2 linked regions of the Tribolium castaneum genome follow. The protein of the gene in region 1 interacts with the protein of each later gene in a biochemical or structural test. Links are inferred from orthologs where the notes say so. Each region holds a gene or a part of one and is shown in the gene's direction. Other genes may lie near its edges.

Region 1 (4,230 bases):
TCTACACCTATAAAGACCACTCTCAACCATTAACCCTCTACGGCCCACTGCCAATAAAATCACAAAACTGATCCTTCTCATCCCTTCAACTGACCACCCTCATTACGTAAAGAATGTAAATACCACCGCAGAGCCAACTGCGGAGGAATTTACGCTAATTTCAAATGTATAGATGTTTGTTGTAGGGTTGTACAATAGTATAATCATCGAACTATGTGTGTAATTATTACGATTCATTTTAAACATAATATTTTCGGTTATTGTTTCGTATGTAATATTTTTTACTTAACTATAAATGTGGATGTGGATTTAATCTAACAATATTATATCACTGTATTTGACACATTCAGACAAAGAAATAAAATGTTTAACATTAAGCTGTTGGTTTTCATTCCCCCAGCACGCCGCAAGGAGGATTTGGATACGTAGTTATTTTAAGAAAAATGAAATGTTTTATTTGGTATAATTCAAGTGGCAGCTTACTTCAAGTTTCTGTCTCACAAGAAGCTTTCAGAAAAAAATTAAACTCAAGAATAATATCAACTGATAAATAATTATAAACCAATAAGCACAAAATATGAATGATCGCTAATTGCAAGCTCCCTGATTAATTATTCAACCATTAAAACCTTCATATTGAATTATAAATCGATCCTTCGGAGAGAAACAATATTATTCTCTTTCTTTAAGATTTATATCAGTTAGAAATTCTATTTATTTTTAAGTAGTACCGTTGAGGTGCCCTTCCAGTTAACAACAATTTAACAGTCTTGTTAGGCATTTTAAACATATTATTAGTCAAGCCAATTTTTGTCCGATTGGCGGTTACAGGGTTGCAACTCCTTCAAAACCTGCTACCAACTGAAACATTGATTCTGGATCACTTTGTATCAAAAATGAATACACAGACCAAAATTAGCTTGTCTTCAAAAAAGTTAATTTAGGAATTCCTTCTTACCTTTTGCTCCTGCGATGAAATTACACGCGAAGATGCTTCTTCCAAAGAAGGAAACGAAGGAAATAAGATGAAAACAGGAAGGACAAGGAAAAATATTAATTTTCACAATTCGACGACACTTGAATATAACGGCGGAGAGTTCTCAAAAATCTGAAAAGCTCTTACTTAAAATAGTGTTTCAAACACAAAACACAACGTCATGGTACCTTTTTTCCCTTTTTTCCGAACCCAGAGTACCATCAAGACACTTCAAGACCATGGAATATCAGCGACCTCTTCACAAAATGAAATTAAGTACTATTCGTAAACAGAAAACTGTAATCTTCTTAAATCAACAAAAGGCACAACAAAAAATATGATTAAGAACGCAAAAGTGTTAATATTGATTACTAAAGTCTTAATTTTTACGAATGATAATGATATTATCATTTCCTATTTTCTTTAAATAAATAATTATATAAATAAATTTGTTGGTTTACTGCGTTTGTAGTTAGAACATTTTGGTAGCAGTGCCAAAATGCTAAAAGTTATCAATTGGTGTTACAATTTGGTAGATTTTTTTTTAATTTCGATAAAATACTGTATTTTTCGAGCTGAAAACCATTCGCGAGCAGGCTCACCCAACCGCGCTTTTTTTCCGTGACATTGTCTATTGTCATATGTCATTCCTGGAGGTTATGTTTTGATTGTGTGTGTTTTTAGTGCAATTGTGATTCAGAAAAAAGCAGCGGAAATGCATTTAAGTACTTTAAATGTGGTGTTTTAAACCTTCACACGTTTCTTCTTAATTGACGAAAAACTGTGCTAAATATTGCCTTGTCTAAAGCTTGTGCAACGTTAGACAAGAGGCGATTTTGCAATCATGAATATGCGAGATAAAGAGAAATACATTGAAAATTTCCATTTCCCGTTCTGTGATGAATCGGAAAAATACGAGAAAATTGCGAAAATTGGCCAAGGAACGTTCGGGTAAGTGACTTAGTTGGGGTTACTTGGGGTCACATATTGTGCCCCATTTGTTGTATTTCTCCGATTGTAGTGAAGTGTTCAAGGCGAGGGACAAAAGTAATCCTAAGAAATTCGTAGCAATGAAAAAAGTGTTAATGGACAATGAAAAAGAGGGCGTAAGGGGTCATTAATTTTTTGCAAAGCTTTCAAACTTGTATTCTAGTTTCCAATCACAGCTTTGCGCGAAATACGAATTTTGCAACTATTGAAACACGAAAACGTTGTTAATCTTATAGAAATATGCCAAACTAAGGCTGCATACCGCAACAGATACAAGTCAACGTTTTATTTAGTGTTCGATTTTTGTGAACACGACTTGGCCGGGTTGTTGTCAAACGTCCACGTTAAGTTTAGTCTAGGAGAGATAAAAAAAGTAGTGCAACAATTATTTAACGGTCTGTATTACATACACAGCAACAAAATTCTTCATAGAGATATGAAAGCCGCCAATGTGTTAATTACAAAGAATGGTGTTTTAAAATTGGCCGATTTTGGCCTAGCTCGTGCATTTAGTACCAATAAGAATGGACTGCCAAATAGGTGAGTTCAAACAGTAAATTAAAAAATTGGTCACTAGTTTGTAATCTACTATTTCAGATTTACAAATCGTGTCGTTACGTTATGGTATAGGCCTCCAGAACTGTTGTTAGGTGAAAGAAACTACGGCCCCCCAGTTGATTTGTGGGGGGCTGGCTGTATTATGGCCGAAATGTGGACAAGGTCCCCCATAATGCAGGGCAACAGCGAGCAACAACAGCTCACTCTGATTTCTCAACTTTGTGGCACCATCTGCCCCCAGGTCTGGCCAGGAGTTGAGAATCTGGAGTTGTACAAGAAGATGGAACTCCCCGTCCAAAAGCGAAAAGTAAGTCCCGTAGGAACAAAGATCGCTTCAATTATAAGCCTAGAATATTTATTTAATCCTCTGTACGAGGTAATGTTTCCACCACGTTCTGAACTGTAGTTTATAAACCGTAATTATTTACATATAAATTCGGAAAAAATGTGATTAAACAAGATCACAGATTTTATTTTTATTATTATTATTTTTTAATCTTCTCCAGGTGAAAGAGAGGCTGAAGCACTACATGAAAGACCCGTACGCTTGTGATTTACTCGATAAGCTGTTGGTCCTCGACCCCGCCAAACGGGCCGATGCTGATACGGCCCTCAACCATGACTTTTTCTGGACTGACCCAATGCCATGCGATTTGAGCAAAATGTTAGCCACTCACACTCAAAGCATGTTTGAATATTTGGCTCCGCCGAGAAGACCGACACAAATGAGGCATCATTCGTTGCCAAGACCGACAACTTCCGCTGTGCAAGACAGCGGATACCAAGATAGGGTTTTTTAGTTGTAAGAAACACGGACATTGTGGTTATTTTCAAGTAATGTGGAAATTGTTTCTAAAGTGGAAACATAACTGAAGGTTTTTCGGGAACCCTAAAATTTGATGTTACTTTTTATTATCTTTTTGTAACGTTTAATATGATGTTACTTAGTTAACATAGCGAATAAACTGTGTAAAAACGCTTGGTGTTTTTTTGGGGTGGAATGAAATGACTTGTTAGTACATATTATATATTTTATTGGTTTGACTGCACTGCCATCCGGCCTTACAATTCAACAACATGGCACACTGTACATGTATCTGTAAAATAATATATATGTATCTGTACATATCTGTTAGCTTGTTTCATAGATCCTCTACATAGGTAAATAACATTCTTGAAGGAGAAACCTTCATTCAAGGCACTTCAATAATCATTGTCTTCTCTTCATTTAATTAGATGTAGTTTCCTACCCATTTCAAATTGTTCTAAATTAACGCAATAACATTGTAACTCTGTTGCTAATTTAGTTGAGCTTACCGAAAGTTTTGGCAAAAAGAACTGGTAAATAAAATGAACCACTCATAACAATGACCTTTCAGAATACTGATTACGAAACCGTAAAATTTTGAAGGCAAATATCACAGAATGCCCAACAAATTACACATTAAATCACATTTAATTGTAAAACATTGCGGAGGACGTCAAACTTAACAAACGAGAAATTAATCAATCATGGCATATTTACATTTTCGGGCGCGGTTAAATTTAACCCCTCCTTCACTTAATTAACTTAACATTAAATTGAATTTATCTAAGACATTCTGTATATACACAATAAATAACAATTCTTGTCACCAAATTTGAACGATCTGAATTACAAGCATTAAGGATAACCGTCAATGTAGAAAAGCACAGAGTGAGGTATA
Region 2 (4,299 bases), on another chromosome or scaffold:
TGCCCGCCAGCATTCCAACTCAAATATGGTCATCATGTTGATTGGAAACAAAAGGTGTTCATCCCGTTTTATTTTTTTTTTTTTCAAAAGTGTTAACTAAACCCTTCCAGTGATCTAGAGAGTAGGAGAGAAGTGAAAAAGGAAGAAGGAGAAGCTTTTGCCAGAGAACACGGACTAGTCTTTATGGAAACTTCAGCAAAAACGGCCGCCAACGTTGAAGAAGCGTTTATAAACACAGCAAAAGAGATCTATGAGAAAATACAAGAGGGAGTCTTTGACATTAACAATGAGGTAAATCAGCGGTTCTGCTCTGTTAAGCTAATTGGCATTTTCTAAAGGTTACACAAACTTTAGAAATCAATAATTTTATACATTAGCAAGTTCATTACCCCATTTTTGGTGATACTTTCTTCTGACTTTGAAATTAAGTTGGCAGCTTGAGACGTCACACGTATAGTGCTGCCAACTCAAATTCACAACTATTGTGTTTTAAATTTTGTTGTTGAAATTGTGCAGGCAAATGGAATCAAGATTGGCCCCCAACATTCCCCCACAAATCCATCGCTTCCTGGTGCAGGCGGCGCCGGGGGTTCGCAGGGTTCGAGTTGCTGTTAAGATGACTTGTCTGTCTTGAGGGTTACATTATGTGTAAGAGAGAAACCCTTATTAAAGAATTGAAAGTGACTGCACAGGTTTATTACATAAATTAATGATCTGATATCTTCCAAATTAGCAAGTTGCACTTTACCCCATCGTTCAACAACCTTTAGAGACAAAACTTTTCAAATATTTTGATACATATGGTGATATTGGCCCCCACTAATTTATGTAATGAAAGGATTATTATTGTGATTATTTTAAGAGTGTGGTATAGTTAGTCCAATACAGGTCACATATTTATTGTTTTGAGTTCATATTTTATAGAGTACCAACCGAAAAGCCGTTTCAGAAGCATTACATCTTACTTTAAACCAACTTTATTTTTGTTATTGGTGATAATAGTGTTATGTGTTTTATTGCGACTATTATACTTAATTAAGAAATGTAGTGTTTATCTCATTAAATAAATTTGTATTGTAAAACGTCAAATTTTTTATGTAAGCTTCATGTAATATAATCAAATATAAGTTGTATTGCCAGTTTGTGTTTGTTTTACCCAAAATTTGAAACGGGCGCGTGAGTAATGGCACCCGGAAGTGCACGCGTCGTCCAATCAGGCCGCGTTCTGCGTTCATGAGTGAAGTCGTTTCCGTGCAAGATGGCGGAAAAAACTATGTGCATATCACAGCAACAAACAAAACCTATAAAAATTTTAAAATGGAAAGTGAGCGAAGGGAACACTGTCTCGATCGGAAGAGTAATCCTTCTGTATGATTTTGACGGGGCTTCCAAGGTGGAACAACGCAAGTTGAAGGTAACACAGGCCGGAACAATTTTTAAGATTGTGGCGCAGGAAGGCGCCATTGTCAAGCCAGGGTAAGCAACAGTTTTGAAAAGGCGCGCGAAAGCTCACGCTCGAATTTTCAGCGAGACTTTGTGCGAATTGAAAGAATGCACGCATCCGACGGTGATGAACGACATGTGCGCAGAATGCGGCACGGATTTGAGGAAAAACGACGTCAGTGTGGCGGCTTCCGTGCCCATGGTGCATGCCATACCTGACTTGAAAGTCAGCGAAGAGGTGGTTGCGTTATATAAAATGCCGCTGCGGGGGTTTGACTTGCATTGTTGCAGCTTGCACAGAAACTCGGCAAAGCGGACGTTGATCGGCTTATTAGAGACAGGAAACTTGTCCTGCTTGTGGACTTGGATCAGACCTTGATCCACACAACCAATGACCACATTCAGCCGAACATCAAGGATATCTATCGCTTTCAGTTATACGGGCCCAATTCACCTTGGTACTTCACAAGGTTGAGGCCCGGAACCCATCAGTTTTTGAACAATATTTACCCGTTTTACGAGCTGCATATTTGCACCTTTGGCGCAAGGAATTACGCACATATGATTGCTGCGGTTCTGGACAGGGACCAGAAGTTTTTCTCAAATCGTATTCTCTCGCGGGATGAGTGTTTTGACCCAACTAGCAAAAAGGCGAACTTAAAGTACGTATTTGAAAAGAAAAATCTGAAAAATCATTCCGTTATTCCTGTTTTTTGAGTCTTTCAAAATCATAAGTAAATAGTTTTTCTCTTCAAGTGTTTTTGAATCACTTTGCATATGTTCACTCTACCATATTTGAGTGTAGAAGGTCTAGCTTTCGAAAAAAAAAAGGCAAAAATGAGACCAGGATGAAAAACTTGATAAATTCGGACAAGAAAGCAAAATTAAAAGTAATTTTTGCCTTAATTACTCTCAAATCGAAGGTACTTTAAGACGAACTTGCACAATAAATAAATATATCGGATTAAAAATTTAAAACCAACTTGTTAAACTGAGAGAAGCAAGCTAAAGTAACAGTTTCGATCTAATTTTCTAGTCTTAGACTATCTTCGTGATATTTAAAACAACAATTGTGCTAAAAGTTCGCGAAAATATTTTTTTATATTTTTTGATACGCTGTGTTACATAATTTTTTATATTTAGGGCTCTATTTCCTTGCGGGGACAACATGGTGTGTATTATTGACGACAGAGAGGACGTGTGGTCGAACGCCGCAAATTTGATTCATGTCAAGCCGTACCATTTTTTTCAACACACCGGCGACATAAACGCACCCCCTGGTTTAGACAAACATGAAAATGATAACAAGGGAGTTGATTTAACAAAAATTAAAGACCAGAAAAAAGACGAACAAATCCAGAATAACGATAGTAAAGCGACAGAAAATGACAGTGAGAAAAATGGTGAAAATGTCGAGGAAAGTAAAGTTGAGAATCAGGTTTCAAATGAATCTGAGAGTACAAAAAACGAGAGTAAAGAAAATACCGAAGATAGTGAAGGAAATAATAAAGTAGATGAAAATAAAAACGGTGACGACAGTAGCGAACAAAAAATTGAAAATGTTGAATCTAAAGGTGTGAATGGTGAAGCAGTAACTAATGACGAAAAGCCTCCACCTGAAGAAAGTAAAACGCAAACGGAAGGGGACACCAAAACTGAAACCCCTCCGGAAACAAAAAACGCAATCGAAATAAACAATCATTTAGTAGAAGTTGAAGACCCCGATGACTATCTCTCCTATCTAGAAGATATACTAAAACGTATTCATCAAGCTTTCTATGACGCTTATGATAAAATGGAATCGGGAGAGGTTCCCGACTTGAAGAAGGTGATTCCCGGGGTGCGAAGTCAGGTGCTACAGGGCTACAAGCTGGTTTTTAGCGGGTTGGTGCCAACTCACATCAAATTAGAACAATCAAAAGCGTACCAAATCGCCAAGAGTTTGGGTGCTGAAGTTACGCAAGAGCTGGAGGACGACACGACACATTTGGTGGCTGTTAGGCCAGGCACTGCTAAGGTGAACGCCGGCAGAAGAAAGAAGAACTTGAAGATTGTTACACCCGATTGGCTGTGGTGTTGTGCAGAACGGTGGGAGCACGTAGACGAGAAGATTTTTGCTTTGAATAGCAAAGGCTCAAAAAACCGGCATCCACCGCCTCATTGCAGCAGTCCAGAGCATATTATAAGTTATCCAGAGCACAATACGCCCGCTATGCGAAAAAGGACACCCAGTGGAAGGTTTATGGACACGATTAATCCTCTCATGTCGTTTTCCAGCGCAGATATAGCGGATATGGATAAGGAGGTAAGGTTAAAAATTAGGTGAAAGGGGAATACGTTTATTGTGTTCCTAAACCGGACACTAGGGTACCAGCTATAGAAAAAAAGCGTTGTCCATAAAATCTTAATTAAATTTGCAGCAACCAAGACTTTTATTTAATAAAAAATCGTCAATTAAAAATAATGTAGGGCGACGAATTTGTTTTCAACCAACTTCAGTTAGGATCTTCTTTATCTGACAAACTGGTCGAAAGTCGGCAATTAGTTTTATTCAGTTTGACATTTTGTTTTATAATTACAAACGTTTTTTTTTTTTGGTACTCTTGCCTTTTGCGGTTGGGGGCAATGTAATTATGAATATTTGTTCAAAATTGTAATTAAAAAATGGTTGGTTGATGCAAATTCTCACTTTATTTAAAACAGAAAAATAGTTCGTGCATGTCTTTGTTGCCCCTTTGAGGTTGTCGCTGATGGTTTAATTCTTCCACAGGTTGAAGACATTTTGGACGACGAAAGTGATAGCAGCGACGAAGAGAAGAACGCGAAAGCAACTGTTGTCAATTCTGAAGAAGTACA

What was found.
Region 2: of the proteins of Cdk9 (region 1) and Fcp1, one has a biochemical effect on the other in vitro, tested with the Homo sapiens proteins (3 studies listed by BioGRID). The link is inferred for Tribolium castaneum from reciprocal best matches to the Homo sapiens genes CDK9 and CTDP1.

The regions. Positions count from the first base shown.
Region 1 is NC_087394.1:32,585,390-32,589,619, forward strand, and holds Cdk9 (cyclin-dependent kinase 9), read left to right. Parts: upstream 1-1,594; 5' UTR 1,595-1,820; coding exon 1,821-1,927; intron 1,928-1,997; coding exon 1,998-2,082; intron 2,083-2,129; coding exon 2,130-2,506; intron 2,507-2,563; coding exon 2,564-2,831; intron 2,832-3,030; coding exon 3,031-3,324; 3' UTR 3,325-3,502; downstream 3,503-4,230. UniProt on the Homo sapiens protein: Protein kinase involved in the regulation of transcription.
Region 2 is NC_087396.1:10,632,873-10,637,171, forward strand, and holds the start of Fcp1 (RNA polymerase II subunit A C-terminal domain phosphatase), read left to right. Parts: upstream 1-1,218; 5' UTR 1,219-1,258; coding exon 1,259-1,476; intron 1,477-1,527; coding exon 1,528-1,681; intron 1,682-1,734; coding exon 1,735-2,105; intron 2,106-2,586; coding exon 2,587-3,748; intron 3,749-4,213; coding exon 4,214-4,299. Other genes in the region: Rab2 (ras-related protein Rab-2), read left to right, coding at 1-54, 111-291, 517-615. UniProt on the Homo sapiens protein: Processively dephosphorylates 'Ser-2' and 'Ser-5' of the heptad repeats YSPTSPS in the C-terminal domain of the largest RNA polymerase II subunit. This promotes the activity of RNA polymerase II.